2 linked regions of the Callithrix jacchus genome follow. Each later gene encodes a partner of the first gene's protein in a complex. Links are inferred from orthologs where the notes say so. Each region holds a gene or a part of one and is shown on either strand. Other genes may lie near its edges. The genes, in order: PDS5B and WAPL.

Region 1 (4,540 bases):
AACAAAAGAGTCAGGAAAGGTTTTTCTAGGCCTAGATATCCTGCTCTCTTCTTCCGTGCAAGATTTATGTTGGTGGAACAACAATGTAAAATAAGAAAATTCCTGAGATAATTCTAAAAAGAGGGCAGAAAAAACTCAGTAGACTTCATTAAGGAATGTATAAAATGGGTAGCACCTGGAGTATTCAGTGGCCAAATCTTGGATAATGTAATGCATACTGTAAATATACTGGTCTAACAAGCACTGGCGGAGACTGAAGCGGAATTGTCCAGGGGATCTCACAAACACGGAAATGAAGAGGTCTCAGTAACACTAGGTGCCCTGGCCCGATGGAATACCAATGGACACACCTTTTTTTCTTTTTCTTTTTTTTTGGAGACGGAGTAGTTTCGCTCTTGTTACCCAGGCTGGAGTGCAATGGCGCGATCTCGGCTCACCGCAACCTCCGTCCCCTGGGTTCAGGCAATTCTCCTGCCTCACCCTCCTGAGTAGCTGGGACTACAGGCACGCGCCACCGTGCCCAGCTAATTTTTTGTATTTTTAGTAGAGACGGGGTTTCACCATGTTGACCAGGATGGTCTTCATCTCTTGACCTCGTGATCCACCCGCCTCGGCCTCCCAAAGTGCTGGGATTACAGGCGTGAGTCACCGAGCCCGGCCAGGACATAGCTTTTCTAACACAGTAACAATAGTTTATACATCAGCATTACCTATCTTTTGTTTCAGTTGATAAATATCCTACGGTAATCCATTCATTCACTCTTTGCTTGTTCATTGTTGAAACAAATTCTCCCTGGAACAAAATCCTAGTAACCATATACATCTTATCAGGAGAAACTTCCTTACTGCAGGGATGGTACTAAAGTAAAAAGAGGAGGCAGTCCCTTTTTTAGCTCTGGCAGAAACCTGGCTGGGGAGGAAACCTTCCCCCAAGGTAGGTGACCGGGCTAAGCCCACTACAGCTGCAGGAGGGACTGCCATCTCCTGGAGGTAAAGGGGGAGGAGACCCAATTCCTGCAATGTGTCCCTGTGGTCTCCAGATGATTTCTTCCTCTAATGAGGACAATTCTGCCAAAGGAATGGTATGCTTCGTCACAGGCTGATTACTGTGTGTCCTCCCAGCCTACCACCTATATACAATATCTCAAATTAGGAAAGTTGGGAGATTTAATAAAGACGTAGCAAGTAAAGTGTAGGAACACTATTTGTATGGCATTCCGAGAAGAAGGCAGAGTTAACAAGGAGCAAAGTAATTAATTCCAAGTCTGTTTACCCAGCACATCAGTGCGGAATGTTAGTGTTTAAAAAAATCTCCCACCCTTTTTCTAAAAAGATGGAGCTACATAACAATCGGTGTGTTTTTTTTTCGGTAGAGGTCTAGGAAGCCGCAGGGGCAGTGGACGCCTTGACAGCAGCCCGTCTCGCGGCCCCCGGGCGGCGTGCCCGTGTGGCTGCGTGCGCGCGGACGGGGCGGGGCTGAGGAGGGGCGTGCGCGCGCGCGCGGACGGGGCGGGGCGGAGCTCGGAGGGCGGGCGCGCGCGGGGCCATCTGGTCGGCAGGGGGCGCTGCGCACCTATGGCGCGCTCTGGCTGCCCCCGGGTGCTGTCCGCCGCGGTTCGATTGGAGCAGCTGCCGAAGAGCGCTTGGCGCCATTTTGAAGCGGAGAGGAGGAGGAACGGCCGGGCTGGCTGCGGAAGGGGAGGGGGGGGAGAAGGCGATTGGATGCGGCGGCGGCGGTGGATCCCGGAGAGCCGCGGAGTGAGAGGAGTAGCGATTCGGGCACCCGGAGGTAGGAAACAATTCAGTTAACGGAAAGAAAATGTCTCTTCTCTCAGGCCGCGGCGCTCCATTTTTCAGCGGCCGCCACCGCCGCTGTGTGTGTGTGTGTCTGTGTGTGTGTGTGTGTGTGTCTCTGTGGCGGGGATGAAGCGCCGCCCGCCGGGCTGCCAGGCGCGACTCGCCTCCCGGCATCGGGGGCTGCAGCGGGCAGCTGCCTGACGGCGGCCCGGGGCGGGGGTCGCGGGGTGCGGGCCAGGCTGAGCGGTGGGGGTGGGGAGGGCCCCGCGCCGGCTCGCGCCTCCACGCCGCGGGCTTTGCGGCAGCCTCTGGAAATTAAACTTGCCGCCCTGATCCCGGCCGGGGCGGCGGCGGCGGGCGGTGACCTTGCGCGCGGGCGGGGGTCCCGGGGCTGACCGGCCGCCCGCGCCCTCTCGCCGCCGCCGCGCCCCTCCCCCCGCGCCCCGGCCGGGCGGCCGGCGGCTGTTTCCCGGGCGGCAGGCGGGCGGCGCGGTGCTCCTGTTGAATCCTCCCGCGGGCGGGCTTCTCCCCCTTCCGGGCGAGGGGCGGGCGGGGAACGTGGGTCGGGGCCGCGGGCACCCTCGCCCCCGCCGCCTGGTCCCGGCGCGCCGCCCGGCCTCCGCTCCGGGCCAGGGAACGGGCTGAGCGTGACATTTTTACACGGTTCCTCGCCACTCGCCGCAGGGAAATCGCGCTCACCGCGCCGCCCTGAGCGGGTGCTCCGGGAACCTGAGGACCCAGTTGAGGAAGAGCTCAGCGCTGGCGTGGAGGGACTCCTCCCAGGCGACAACTGGGTTCTAGCTTTCCTTTCGGAAGGAACGGCGGGGAAAATGGTGTGCGATTGTGACTCGTTAGTGTTTTTTCACTGTTATTTTATTGCCACTTTAAAAGTTACAGTTTAGGGAAAAACCTTGTTTGCTGTTGTCGCTGGTGCTGCTGTTGGTTTTTGGTAGAGACGTGAAAGCTAACTCTAAGTAGCTCGACAGTTATTTGGAGGAATGACTGGACCCTGAAACGCCGCCCCTCGTCTTCGGAACTGCAGGCTGCTGCGTTCCTTGCCGCGGACTGGGTGAGCTCCGGGAAGGGCTGAAAGAGCAGCTACGCACCCACTCCACTTGCGTCTTCAGCATTCTCTCTTCCCTAGCAAGGGTCAACCCTTTTTTATGTCGCTTCCCTAGCAAGGGTCAACCCTTTTTTATGTCGAAGAAAGTGCTTCTCGTACTTTTATTATGAGGTGATGGACGGGCAGTGGTGCCCCGACTGATCCTACCTTGTTGATTAAATAGTTTCAGAAACTTTGGTTATAGCCTAAATTTAGAGGGTTGGTTTCCGCTGTGCAGAGTTGGGTAATCCTGTATCATCCTAATAAACTTTAAAAACTAAAGTTGTGTTTACATACTGGAGGCGAGCTGTAAATAAATTGTAATTACCTAATGCTTGAATGGCAGTAAGTCATTGTTCTCAGTTAACACATCCAGACAGAGTTCCCAGACAGAACGTTTTTTAACTCCTGTAGTGGTCAGGTAAAGTAGTTAAAAACCACAGACATGCACTTGAAAGACAGCTCTTTATGCAGCATACATGTCAGAGATGTTTCCATCTTTAGGGACAATAAGATGAGTATTCACGGGTGTATGCAGGTCAGTTTGTGGAACAATTAATCTTGTATCTCATGGTGATAGAAAACCTATTAAAATGTATATAGTGGTGAATATGTAGGTGAAAGTTACATGGGACCTTTTATGTTAAGATAGATTTATTCTCATAAATATAACTGTAAAACACATCTTAAGAACATTATACATTTACAAACATATATTTTAAAAAATGCACTTTAGACTTTATAAAAATTACCAGAATAGTGACTTTTGCCGCTTTTTTCTGATGGTTTAAAAAATTGTCCTCAGGTGGCTTTTACTTCAAGGTGTATTTTAAATGGGAAGGTATGTTTGTCTTGGCCTTTTTTTTTTCTTTTCTCTTTGTTTTGGTTGAGTCTGATTCTTCCTATATTAACTTTCCTTTTACTGCAGCTTTTGTTACTCTTGTCGCCTTTATTCTCTCAGGTTATGTCTCTCCCCCTCTAATTCCCCCTTCTGCCCTCCCAAATTAGAGAGACATGTCGTGATAGTGATTCTTGTCATGAGATGTTTGTATTAAGCTTATTTGTAATAAGGTTCTACTGAGCTGGCTGTTGGATGAAAGCTGTTTAAATTGTTCTGCAGCTTTGTTTAACAAAGTAACATTTTGGGGAGTAGGCTTTATCAGTAATTTGTTAGGCCTAAGATAAAGTGGTACCCTGTATTAGACAGGCTTGCCCTGGAGAAGAATGCAATGGTAGAAAGTACTCAAAACTGTGGGGAAGGAATATTTTGAGAAGTTGTATTCTTTCTGCTTATTTCTCTTGGAAAACTTAGAGACTGCCTTAGAACTAACAGGAGTAGTGCTCACTGTGATTTGGCTTATGGACTCTTGAATGACATGGATTGTATATAACATATTAGAAAAGAATACATTTGTGTTTCCTCTGTTAGTGTTAGAGAGCAACAAGAAAATTTAACTGATGATCTCCAACTCATACATGAGAAATTAAATTCAGATTGTAATTTCATTGATTTATCTAAGATCACAGTCATATTCACATCGTGGCATTCGGACAGCCTTTAGAGATCCTGGAAGCTTAGAAGTTTTCCCCTTGTCTTTTTTTGTTTTATTCAGGATTTAGCAATATTTATTAATAAAATTT
Region 2 (3,812 bases), on another chromosome or scaffold:
GATGAAGGATGATGATTTTAAAAATCGATTGGAAAATCTGAATGAAGCCATTGAGGATGATGTTGTTCAAAGTGTTCTTAGGCCAACCAATTGTAGGACGTACTGTAGGGCCAATAAAGCGAAATCTTCCCAAGGAGCATCAAATTTTGATAAGCTGATGGACGGCACCAGTCAGGCCTTAGCCAAAGCAAACAGTGAATCGAGTAAAGATGGCCTGAATCAGGCAAAGAAAGGTGGTGTAAGTTGTGGGACCAGTTTTAGAGGGACAGTTGGACGGACTAGAGATTATACTGTTTTACATCCATCTTGCTTGTCAGTTTGTAATGTTACTATACAGGATACTATGGAACGCAGCATGGATGAATTCACTGCATCCACTCCTGCAGATTTGGGAGAAGCTGGTCGTCTCAGAAAAAAGGCAGATATTGCAACTTCTAAGACCACTACTAGATTTCGACCTAGTAATACTAAATCCAAAAAGGATGTTAAACTTGAATTTTTTGGTTTTGAAGATCATGAGACAGGAGGTGATGAAGGAGGTTCTGGAAGTTCTAATTACAAAATTAAATATTTTGGCTTTGATGATCTCAGTGAAAGCGAAGATGATGAAGATGAAGACTGTCAAGTGGAAAGAAAGACAAGCAAAAAAAGAACTAAAACGGCTCCATCACCCTCCTTGCAACCTCCCCCAGAAAGCAATGATAATTCCCAGGACAGTCAGTCTGGTACTAATAATGCAGGTAAGAATTTAAAAATATGTATAATAAGTACAGTAGTCCCCCCGTATCCACAGTTTCACTTTCTATGGTTTCAGTTATCCAAGGTCAACCACATTCTGGAAAGAGGTGAGTACAATATAAGAAGATAAAGTCCTCATTCACATAACTTTTATTATAGCATATTGTTATAATGATTCTGTTTTATTCTTATTGTTAATCTTTTACTGTGCTTGATTTATAAATTAAACTTTATCGTAGGTATGTATATGAAAAAACATAGTACATACAGGTTTTGGTGTATTATTCCATGGTTTCAGGCATCTACTAGGGACTGATATGTATCGCCTATTGATGGCAGGGGGACTACTTTAAGTGTGCTTTTCAGGCTTAAATCAACAGCTACATAGTTTCTTCCTAGATACTCAATTTTAGGTTGTTATGTTTGTTAAAAGTACCTGTTGAGAACCGCAGATTACCTTATTCAGAGGTACAGCATTTTAAGTGTTAATGATCAGGTCCCAGGTTGTAAGGAACCAATTTGTAAATTGGAGAGTGTTCATATTTGAGTTTTAATTTAACCTTTAGCACTTGAGAACTTTAAAGCATATAGGTATATGGGGCAGGGGCATTAGACATCATGATGTTTTCATTTTGACAAATCCAAATGCAGTGAAGACATAGGTTAGGTTTTGGACCTTTGGAACTATACTGATAACAGATGGTTATAATGAGGGAAAGAACAGATTAGAATTAAAAAACGCTTTGTGGTTGAATTAAAACTGATAAACATTCAAAATACCCTCAAACCCTCTTAAGTTGGTTCAGTAAAATTGAAGAGTGCCAGGTAAGTATGCATTCACTCTTAGCTGTGGAAATTTAATTTGTGGGAGATTGTAGACCCAGTGATGACGAAAGGTCCTCTAGGAGTTCAGTCTCCACTGTGAGAGAGAGACAAAAGAAATAGGTTAGCTCTACTATAATTAAGTCATTACCTTACAAGGACTTTATGAACTGGATTGACTGTCTAGTGAGGAAGAATTTGTGGAAGCCTCTGGGATACATGGTTTTTTAACCAAATACAGTTTTTCTGGATTGGTTTACATATTAAGTAAAGTTTTTGTCCTGATAGGGCCACAGAAGTGTCATTATGGTAAATTAGAATTATAATAGCATTTTAAAATAGAGATTCTCTTGTAGAGTATAAGTCATTCTTGAGATTATCTACCATTTTGCTTTATTTGGCCTAAAAATAATTTTGTTCAATTTATTCTTCAAAACTAGAAATACACAGGAGTACCCCTAGGGGCGCACCCCCTCCCCCAGAAAAAAAGGAATACATCCAGTGTTATCTTTGAATGCTTTCTGGATAATGGAAGTTTGCAGCAGCCTTACTGTATCTTGAGATCTGGCTGGGCAGAATAGCTAGACGTTTGGTTCCTCAGGAGAATGATAAATGCTGCTATACAATACCGGTGCCCTTGTCCTGCTACAGTTGACTTAGCTTTTATTCTGACTTGGATAGCAAGTTATCCTCGTCTGCAATTGAAAATCTGTGGCTGAAATTTACACATTGGGTAGTAAAACTTTTAAAGCTTTAAAATGTGGAATTAGACTCCTTTTGAGAAACTTAAAGTAGATAATAAATAACATTTGAAAATTAGAGGCCATTTGGTTGATCTACTGAAAGTTGAAATTTCAGTCTTCATACCATATATGAAGCAGCAAAAAATTTTAAGCATTGGGATAGAGAAAAGTCTTCCTATTTTCTTTTTTTTGTTTAGCTTAGATAAAGATACATATTTTTAACCAGTTGGGAAATAAGCTGATTGTTTGGTTAGTTGTGTTTGAAGACTGACAAACCATTAAACTTTGTTATATTAGGTCATTTAAAATCTCTTGCCAAGGATAACTGTCCTCCTTTTCTGGTGTTTTTTTTTGTTTTGTTTTGTTTTTTGAGACGGAGTTTCGCTGTTGTTACCCAGACTGGAGTGCAATGGCACGATCTCGGCTCACCACAACCTCTGCCTTCTGGGTTCAAGCAATTCTCCTGCCTCAGCCTCCCAAGTAGCTGGGACTACAGGTGTGCACCACCATGCCCAGCTAATTTTTGTATTTTTAGTAGAGATGGGGTTTCACCTTGTTGACCAGGATGGTCTCGATCTCTTGACCTCGTGATCCACCCACCTCGGCCTCCCAAAGTGCTGGGATAATAGGCATGAGCCACCGCACCCGGCCTTTTCTGGTGTTTTCAATGTGGCTTTTATAGTTGCCAACAGGCATTCTTTGAACGCTAACATGATTTAGTGGATTTAAAGTTCCTAAAAAAATGCTACAGGTGGGTACCACATGATGTTTTATATGTACGTAAACTAGACCTTTCCAGTGTCAGTATCCATAGATATCCAGCAGTTACGTGACTTCTCGAAAGTAAGAAAATTATTTTGGAAAAGATTTAATTTTGCCATTTAACATAAATTAGGACTAGAACACATAGACAGCAACCAGGTTTATGATTTCTCTTATGGAAGGGACAAGCAGGAAGGGAGAAGAATGGCAGAATGAAACTTCTTATTCTAGGGAGTATTCTGGGGAGCTCTGTGGTGCTCTGATTCCTTTATTCTTTAATTCCCATTTTCATTCATTCATATATATTTAATCTTCATGGGTTGTCTGGTAGGTAATTTGAAATGTTAGTAAGCTAGACAGTTTTGGTTACCATTTCAGAAAACTTGGATTTTACAGAGGACTTGCCTGGTGTGCCTGAAAGTGTGAAGAAACCCATAAATAAACAAGGAGATAAATCAAAAGAAAACACCAGAAAGATTTTTAGTGGCCCCAAACGGGTAAGTAAAGCATTATCAGTGATTTTTATTATTGATTTGTTATTGGAGGGCTCAACTCTTAATTTTTAATTTGAAAGTCACTAATAAACAGCAACTGTCTTTCAAAGGATATATGTAAGTCATTTTTTCAAATGTAACTGTATTTTTTAAATTGTGGTAAAATACACATATTTTTAAACCATTCTCAAGTGTACAAGTCAGTGGCATTACTTTCATGATGTTAATTATCTATACGCAAAACCTTTTTATC

What was found.
Region 2: the proteins of PDS5B (region 1) and WAPL are in contact, whole or in part, in a crystal structure (PDB 5HDT), measured with the Homo sapiens proteins. The link is inferred for Callithrix jacchus from reciprocal best matches to the Homo sapiens genes PDS5B and WAPL. Residues at the interface, in NP_055847.1 of Homo sapiens: Gln47, Phe88, Ala92, Pro93, Ala95, Trp137, Val138, Lys139, Ser140, Asn142, Ile143, Phe145, Glu146, Glu187, Gly188, Asp189; in NP_055860.1 of Homo sapiens: Lys7, Thr8, Tyr9, Ser10, Arg11.

The regions. Positions count from the first base shown.
Region 1 is NC_133506.1:151,836,834-151,841,373, forward strand, and holds the start of PDS5B (sister chromatid cohesion protein PDS5 homolog B), read left to right. Parts: upstream 1-1,648; 5' UTR 1,649-1,789; intron 1,790-2,235; exon of another isoform or gene 2,236-2,630; intron 2,631-2,688; 5' UTR 2,689-2,866; intron 2,867-4,540. UniProt on the Homo sapiens protein: Regulator of sister chromatid cohesion in mitosis which may stabilize cohesin complex association with chromatin. May couple sister chromatid cohesion during mitosis to DNA replication.
Region 2 is NC_133513.1:43,534,694-43,538,505, forward strand, and holds part of WAPL (wings apart-like protein homolog), read left to right. Parts: coding exon 1-740; intron 741-3,443; coding exon of another isoform or gene 3,444-3,461; coding exon 3,462-3,562; intron 3,563-3,812. UniProt on the Homo sapiens protein: Regulator of sister chromatid cohesion in mitosis which negatively regulates cohesin association with chromatin. Involved in both sister chromatid cohesion during interphase and sister-chromatid resolution during early stages of mitosis.